Linked DNA regions of Tribolium castaneum. The protein of the gene in region 1 interacts with the protein of each later gene in a pairwise test. Links are inferred from orthologs where the notes say so. Each region holds a gene or a part of one and is shown in the gene's direction. Other genes may lie near its edges.

Evidence for each region.
Region 2: the proteins of dlg1 (region 1) and bor interact in a two-hybrid assay, tested with the Caenorhabditis elegans proteins (3 studies listed by BioGRID). The link is inferred for Tribolium castaneum from reciprocal best matches to the Caenorhabditis elegans genes dlg-1 and atad-3.

Annotation. Positions count from the first base shown.
Region 1 is NC_087397.1:8,290,754-8,294,576, reverse strand, and holds part of dlg1 (disks large 1 tumor suppressor protein), read left to right. Parts: intron 1-221; coding exon 222-471; intron 472-525; coding exon 526-628; intron 629-1,687; coding exon 1,688-1,741; intron 1,742-1,975; coding exon 1,976-2,017; intron 2,018-2,123; coding exon 2,124-2,210; intron 2,211-3,460; coding exon 3,461-3,610; intron 3,611-3,664; coding exon 3,665-3,823. UniProt on the Caenorhabditis elegans protein: Essential multidomain scaffolding protein required for normal development. Recruits channels, receptors and signaling molecules to discrete plasma membrane domains in polarized cells. Required for proper embryonic elongation.
Region 2 is NC_087398.1:2,267,129-2,271,400, reverse strand, and holds the start of bor (ATPase family AAA domain-containing protein 3A homolog), read left to right. Parts: upstream 1-1,310; 5' UTR 1,311-1,601; coding exon 1,602-1,818; intron 1,819-1,909; coding exon 1,910-2,384; intron 2,385-2,435; coding exon 2,436-2,593; intron 2,594-2,638; coding exon 2,639-2,889; intron 2,890-2,938; coding exon 2,939-3,062; intron 3,063-3,230; coding exon 3,231-3,522; intron 3,523-3,575; coding exon 3,576-3,774; intron 3,775-3,824; coding exon 3,825-3,968; 3' UTR 3,969-4,272. UniProt on the Caenorhabditis elegans protein: Essential for mitochondrial network organization, mitochondrial metabolism and cell growth at organism and cellular level. Important during development for the up-regulation of mitochondrial activity during the transition to higher larval stages.

The DNA of each region.
Region 1 (3,823 bases):
TTAAACCCAACTTCAACTACTTTTTTTGAAAATGTAACTAAATACAACTTGAATGCAAGTATGTCTAACTATGATTTTAAAATAACTTAACTACATTACAAGGAGAAATAATAGGGTCACAAAAATTAAATAATTAAGAGATGATTTTAGAACTTGTAGTTGAACACTGCAGCTAGGGGCGGAATAGTAGGGTTGCTGGTAATGTCTAAACGAATTTGCAGAGCTCTGTTCGATTATGATCCGATGAAAGACGACGGGTTGCCGAGCCGGGGACTCGCTTTTCATTATGGGGATATCCTACATGTGACGAATGCCAGTGATGATGAGTGGTGGCAGGCGCGGAGGGTACTTAACACGGGGGATGAACAGGGTATGGGGATTGTTCCGTCGAAGAGGAGGTGGGAGAGGAAGCAAAGGGCGAGGGATCGCTCGGTTAAGTTCCAAGGACACATGCCCAACATTATGGATAAGGTTTGAACGCACGAGTTGTATAACGTATTTTGCTCACTGATCGATGTATTGCAGCAATCGACATTAGATAGGAAAAAGAAAAACTTCTCGTTTAGTAGAAAGTTCCCCTTCATGAAAAGTAAAGACGACAAGTCGGAAGACGGCTCAGATCAAGAACGTAAGTCACTTTTTTGATTTTGTTACGGATATCAAATCTAAAGACTAGGATACGACACGACATACAAGTGAAACCGTCCCCATTCCCGTCTAAATTTTAAGAGCAATGAATTTAAAACATGGTTGTATTTAATAACGGTGAGCACAACTTAAATAAAAAATTACGAGCAGATAGAACATTAAATTCTTCTCAAAGGCCAAAAACTGGCGCACCAACTTAGTGTTACGTTGTTTACTGCGTGTGTATATTACGGGAAAACTTGTTTTGTTACACAAATTTGTTATGTTATCTTCTTCGGTTTTAATTATTTTTTAATGTTTTTGTTTCACACTAAGTAATCGTTCTCTAACAAAACGATGAATAATTATTTTTTGCACTTCCGGGTCATTTATTCTTTCGTCGCCTCGTCCTTAATCCGATTTGTCCATTAAAACTCTATTTTGTGGACTTGTAACATGAATTACTATTTTTTTTATTATTGTTACCAAAAAGATTGTCATTGAATATCAAAAAACGATATCTATTGATTAACCTAAAACTGCTTTTTTTGTAACTAGTCATTTATTTGTTAATTTTGTTGTACAGTCAATATAAAGTACTGCAAAAATTTGGTACATCTCGAATTTTTGATAGTACAATTGCCATAAATAGATATCATCAATAATATTAACAAAATCGTCACAAATTATTGCATAAAAATAAATTTAATTACTATTTAAATTTTTATTTGTAATTGCAGAAGTACTTGAAAGTGGTATTAAACTGAAAAATGCGGAGATAAAACTTAGCAGATGATCCTTCAGTTTCCTCTGCGGGAAATGAAATGGAAAAGTAAAAGAACTTTAAATTAAAAACTTACTTCTTTCGAACAATTATTAATTAACAAAATGATTGAATTTAAACTTAAGGCTCCCTCATTTTTGTGTCTCGTTTCGTCTCCTAGTATATGGTTCGTAGAATTTCCTTTCACTCGTTCGATTTTTTTCTGGTTTCTTTTACCCCCTGAGATTCGATTTTTATTTTGACGTTATTTTTATATTTGTTTTTTTCTACCTTTAGACTCTCCTTCTGCCACTCCTAACTCTGCTAATGATAATGAACGAAATCCCTCATGTAAGTACTCATTAACTAATTTTAGGTGTAAACCGGTAATGAATAGGTATATCCTTGAAACCTGACGCTATCCGTTATTTTTGTTATTTTCTACTAACAGCACCCCACTAATCGATTCTGTTGTACGGTGGTTGATGTGAATTAATCTAAATAATTAGTTTCTTCGAGTGTGATTTAGACCATGTACATATTCTGTGTATTAACCCCGGCCTAATGTGATGGTTTGTGTTGCAGCGTTCATGTTATGCTACACCCAGGAGGACGCCAATGCTGAAGGTACAGTATGATTCATAATTACTGTCTTTATATAAAAATATTGCATTGTCGTTTTGGTTTACTACATAAATTTTCTTTTGGCTTCTTTCTGTGTTTCATAGTACAGGTGAAATATTATATCGGGTTGAGCTACCTTACATGGAAGAGATCACGTTAATTTATCTGGAGAATAATGATAATAATGACGACTATAGTAAGTGTTAGTGTTGTGACTGCATGGCGATCAGCAGCGCCCCTTGCACTGATTCAGCGTGTTCCGATCATTTGTTTATCTGACAAATCAATGATTAATCCAATATGGAGTTTTCATTTTGGCCTAACATTTCATCGTTGAAATCTCAGTTTGAAAGTTCAATGTTACCGAATCGACACTCAGACCCCAGCAGGAGTTTTGTTGTGCGGTTTATGCTAACATTCACGTCCCACCCCCTCATCTAGGCGGAAAATGAAATAATGTGACATTGCCGCACTTGTTAAGTAATTAATTACAATTACTTGGAAAGTAATTTATTTACTTTCATAATAGTTAAAGCAGCAAAGTACTTATGATATTTTCAATCAGTGGAAAATTATGGAAAATACATGGTGATTCAAAAAACATCAAATGTTCATAGCTCAAAATTTTATAAAACTTTATTAAACGATTGATCTGGTAAATTACCGAAATAAACAAAAAATGTAGCAGTTCATTTATAAACTTAGGGCCGGTTTATAGAAGAGTCATTAATCTATAATTAATCATGTGACCAAATTGAACAAATTTGCTTGGTCCATTTGCGTTTTAATGGCTAAAAATGGCTTCATTACTCAAAATCAAAAGGGAAAAAAATTTAGTTGAGAATAGTATACTTTAAAAAAATATATCTGTCTCAGCAATATATTTTCAAATTTTAATTATATTGTACTTTTGTAATAGAAATTAGTTATAATTTGCCCGAAGTAATTGTAATTGAAATTAATTACGTGAGTGAAACGCGTGCTTTAGGGTAGAAGTAGTTTTTTCGTCGCTCGGCTTGTGGATGGCGCTGTCACATTATTCGAGGAAGCCTGCGCTATCATGTAGGGTGAATGTGCTAGCCTTCTAAACAACTAGAAACTTAACTGCATTAACATAGACTTAGCGTACTTTGAGTTGTACGTAAGTAGGTGTGTTTGTTTTTATTTGCGAATTTGCGATTGATTTGTTTTGTGTGTCACTAAAACAAATTTTCTGTGTCTTGTGTCTCTTTTCACAGTTGTGTCTTTCTAGAGTTTTAACATGTTTTCAGCTTCTTATCTAGGGTAACTTCATGTGAATGTGTGTTATGGAATGTTAGAGGTTTGATTTTTTGTAACTTGGCTTGTAAGTCTTTCCAGGAAGAATAATTTAAGTCCAGATTTTGCCAAGTGTCGAACGAAGTGAGTTAGTTTTCGGCAAAATTGAATTTTTGGTTTTGTTTTCAGGCAATGAGGAAAATGTACTCTCATACGAACCTGTCCAGCAGATGGCAATCAATTACACGAGGCCGGTTATTATTTTGGGGCCTCTCAAAGACCGCATTAACGACGACCTCATTTCCGAATTCCCCGACAAGTTCGGAAGTTGTGTCCCACGTAAGCTCGACAAACAAAAATTGTTTGCATACAATACATAATTCGGGTTTATAGATACGACTAGGCCCAAGCGGGAGTACGAAGTTGACGCAAGGGATTATCATTTTGTCAGCTCGAGGGAACAGATGGAGAAGGACATACAAAATCACCTGTTCATAGAAGCGGGACAATATAATGATAATTTGTACGGAACCTCGGTCGCCTCAGTTAGGG
Region 2 (4,272 bases), on another chromosome or scaffold:
CTGTGAACTGGTGGCATGTGGGATTCGTGTTTGCAACACCGTGCTGGCGAATACTACAGAAAAGATTCTCCAAGGGGTCTTGGTTTAGACCCCTCAAGTTCAAAAAATCAAACCCATCGATGTTTTTGAGGTGATTCCATAAAAAAATAATAGACCTGATTGTCGTCTGCCAACCCTTGACGAATGAAAACTGATTGGTACAATCAGTTCCATTTTTCAAATCTATTAGTTTCCAATGGCCCATCTCCGTTAACAATTTTGACCAAAATGCCAAATGGGGCGACTCATCTGTCAAAGCACACCGGTACTTTTTTGAGTCAGTTGGAAACCTCAACAAACTCCTCTTGTGGGGCCATAACGCATGGTTTTGGAACTACATGTGGATTTAATTTATCCTTCCTCTCATTAACAAAATCGCGACTTTCAAAATGATCCTCACATAAACGCCAAAATTTTGAACTTACAGGATCCTCAATTTTGCAGGCATTCCTCCACAATTCGTGAAGCTTTGGATTCTTAGGGAAAGTGAAGAAATGCTTGTTGGCATGTCCTTTGTTGGGAACATAACCACTGGTGCATCCGGGGTATTTGCAGGAATATTTGCGATAACCAGCCATGACTAAAGTTCGCTTGAGTAGTAGAAATCAAAAATCCGTCACCCCAGCCCAGAGACCAATGCCTTTAAAATAGAAAGAAACACCAATCAAAAAGATGAAGTTATGTTAGCAAAAGAAGAGATACTTATCTTTTTGGTCGGTGCTCAACACCAGGAATTGACTCACTAACGTACTGTAATCAGAATTTTTGCTGTGATTAAACGATTAAACAAATAATTGCTACATACTTCCGGTAACACGTTGAACGATGAGTGACAAAACACAACACTTTTGGCGCGATATTTTCGGCGCGATCTTTTTAGCGATCTGAGCGCAAGCGTAGATGTCATTGTTACGTCAAAAAATACAAATTAATGAAATCCCTAATGAATACGCGCTTGTTTTAAAATAAGCAGTCGTCATTGGTCGTTCCTTTTCATCTCCCCGGGAGTGCAAAGCCCCCCTCGCCTATACTCTCGAGTTGCCAATGCGCGTATCCCACTTTCACCCCCATGTGTAAAATCGCCGGTCGTTAAAGACTAGGGATTTTTTATGCTTTTTTGGTTATTGCAATAGTTGAGGCAAAAATCAACAATGATGTAATGTTTGCGGAAGAAATAACACAAATAAACGTAACAATTATCACTTTATTTCGAAAATAAAAAATCAAAAAAAATATTTTCAAAATTTTTTTGGCACAAAAGACCACATGAGCACAAGCTATAAAAAAGAAAAGTGTTCAAAGATGCAAAAAATTGTAAGTGGACACAATCTCAGCGATAAGCATTTGGTTTGGAGGACAATAAATTATTAACTCGTAGTGATTAAGAAAAGGTTAAATTAATAAAAAAAACGTTTTTGTCCACATGCGATGTTATGCAACTTTGGCATCTAGAAAATACGTGCGCATGGTCGTGCCCTCGTTCCTTTGACAGCCGTCTTTAACCTAAGAATTGTGTCACGTTTTTTCTTTGATGAAAATTTGATAGAAAATAATTGCGCAAAATGTCGTGGATTTTCGGTTACGGTAGACGCGACCAGCAGCCCCCTGACATGTCCCAATTCGGGGCGCCCCCGGCCGGTGGGAGTGGAGGTGCCGGTGGTGACATCCCCAACGATCCAAAACTGACCAAAGCTGAAAGAAAGCAAATGGAAGCTTACAGATTCGACTCGACGGCTTTGGAACGTGCGGCCCAAGCCGCAAAAGAGCTCGAGAGATCGTGTAAGTAGCTTTGAAACCTAAAATCCAACTTTGAAGGTTATGTCTTGTAACCTTTGGTTGCATAACGTTCACGTTGGTTATTTGTGCACAGCACATGCGAAGGAAGCGCTCGAATTGTCCAAGTTGCAAGAAACCACCAGACAGGTCGAGCAGCAGGCGAAAATCAAGGAGTATGAGGCGCACATTGCTCAGATGCAAATTGAGGCCAAAAGGGCCGAAGCCGAGGAGAAGAGGAAGCTGCTGGTGGAGGAGACGAAGCAGCACCAAGCGAGGGCGCAGTACCAGGACCAGTTGGCTAGGAAGCGATATGACGACCAGCTCGCCCAACAACAAAGGATGAACGAAGAGAATTTGAAGAGACAGGAGGAGTCCGTTGCCAAACAAGAGGCCATGAGGAAGGCCACCATTGAGCACGAGATGGAGCTGAGACACAAGAACGAAATGAAAAGGGTTGAGGCTGAACTGAAGGCCAAAGCTAAAGTTGACAGGGAAAATCGCGACTTGACTCTTGAACAAATCAGGCTCAAAGCCACCGAAAATCGCGTCACGGTGCTCGAGAGTATAAAGTAATTATTTCACAAAATGCCAACATCATTGTAAAAAATTTTTTTTAATAGAACGGCAGGGTCTGTTTTGGGGACAGGTGTCCACGCCTTGCTCACAGACTGGGACAAGGTTTTAACAGCTGCGGGTGGGTTGTCCCTCCTGGCTTTGGGTGTTTATTCAGCCAAAGGGGCAACTAGTGTCACAGCACGTTACATAGAAGCACGGCTAGGTAAATCCAATAATTAAAAAAAATATATTAACCTACTTCAAATAGGAAAACCATCGTTGGTTAGAGAAACATCAAGATTTTCGTTTCTCGACACAATAAAGCATCCCATCGAAGCAATAAAAAAAATTCGAACAAAACAACAAGACGCTCTGTCTGGTGTAGTTTTAGCCCCGCAGTTGGAGGAACGTCTCAGAGACATTGCTATTGCTACAAAAAATACCAAACAAAATAGGGGCATGTACAGGAATATTCTAATGCATGGCCCTCCTGGTACAGGAAAAACCATGTTTGCAAAAGTAATTTTTGCATACACTGTGTGATTTAAATTACGAAATTGTGTTTTAGCGATTAGCTAAACATTCAGGGATGGACTATGCCATTTTGACAGGGGGCGATGTGGCCCCCATGGGTCGGGATGGGGTGACAGCTATCCATAAAGTCTTTGATTGGGCTCACAGTACCAGGAAAGGTAGCTGTCTTTAATTCTCTACAACTTTTTTTTTATTTTCTTCGATAAAGTTTTATTTTTAATGATTTTTTTAGTAAAAAGGATAAATTTTAAATGAATTATCAACATTTTGTCATGATTTAGTTTTAGTTCTTCTCAAAGAATTAAGTTACCGATTTTAATGATTAGGTTTGTTGCTGTTCGTGGACGAGGCGGACGCATTTTTGCGCAAACGTTCATCGGAGCACATTTCTGAAGATCTGCGCGCCACACTTAACGCATTTCTGTACCGATCTGGCGAACAAAGTCAAAAATTTATGTTAGTTCTTGCCTCAAACACTCCGGAGCAGTTTGATTGGGCGGTGAATGACCGTCTTGATGAAATGGTACAGTTTGGTTTGCCCGGTTTGGAGGAACGCGAGCGTTTAATTCGGCTCTATTTTGATAAATTCGTTTTGGAGCCTGCGACTGAGGGCAAACGGTTTGTTGGAATATTGTCTCCTTAATTAGTTGGTTAATAATTTTTTTTGAAAGGAGGTTGAAAGTTGATAATTTCGATTACGGTGCGTTGTGTAGCCAAATGGCACGGATGACCAAAGGCATGTCTGGCCGAGAAATCGCAAAATTGGGGGTGGCATGGCAGGCGGCGGCCTACGCGTCTGAGGATGGTGTTCTGACCGAGAAAATGGTCTTGGATAGGTGTAGAGACGCAGTGAAACAACACAGACAAAAGGTGCGGATTTGTTGTATTGTGATGTTGTATTTATTGAATGACTGATTTAGGTCGAGTGGCAATCCGAACAGGAAAAGAAGGAGTCGAAGAGTATATATCATTCTGAAAAGGAAGATTCCTATTCACCTGTAGTGCCAAAGCAGAAAGCTAGCCAAGCGGAGGAAGAGGAGGTGGATACAGCGAAAGTTAGATAGATTATAGCGACCAAATAGGGTAACACAATCGTACTCTTGTAGTTTTAAATTGGCAATCCCGCAAACACAGAACTGACCCAGTCACTGCCGTTTATCAGTTCTGTGTTTGCCGCCCAGTAAACTAAATTAAACGGTTTAAGTTTACTGACTGTTGTTTATATTTATACAAGGAAAGTGAGTTCACCACCAACTGGTGTGCATTTAATTCGCCAAATTTCGGTTGTTGTTAAATTATTGCATTGGTTTTTTATATTTATATGCAATTTTTTAAGGGTCTACTTCTCGTGGTTTTGTTCAATTGTGA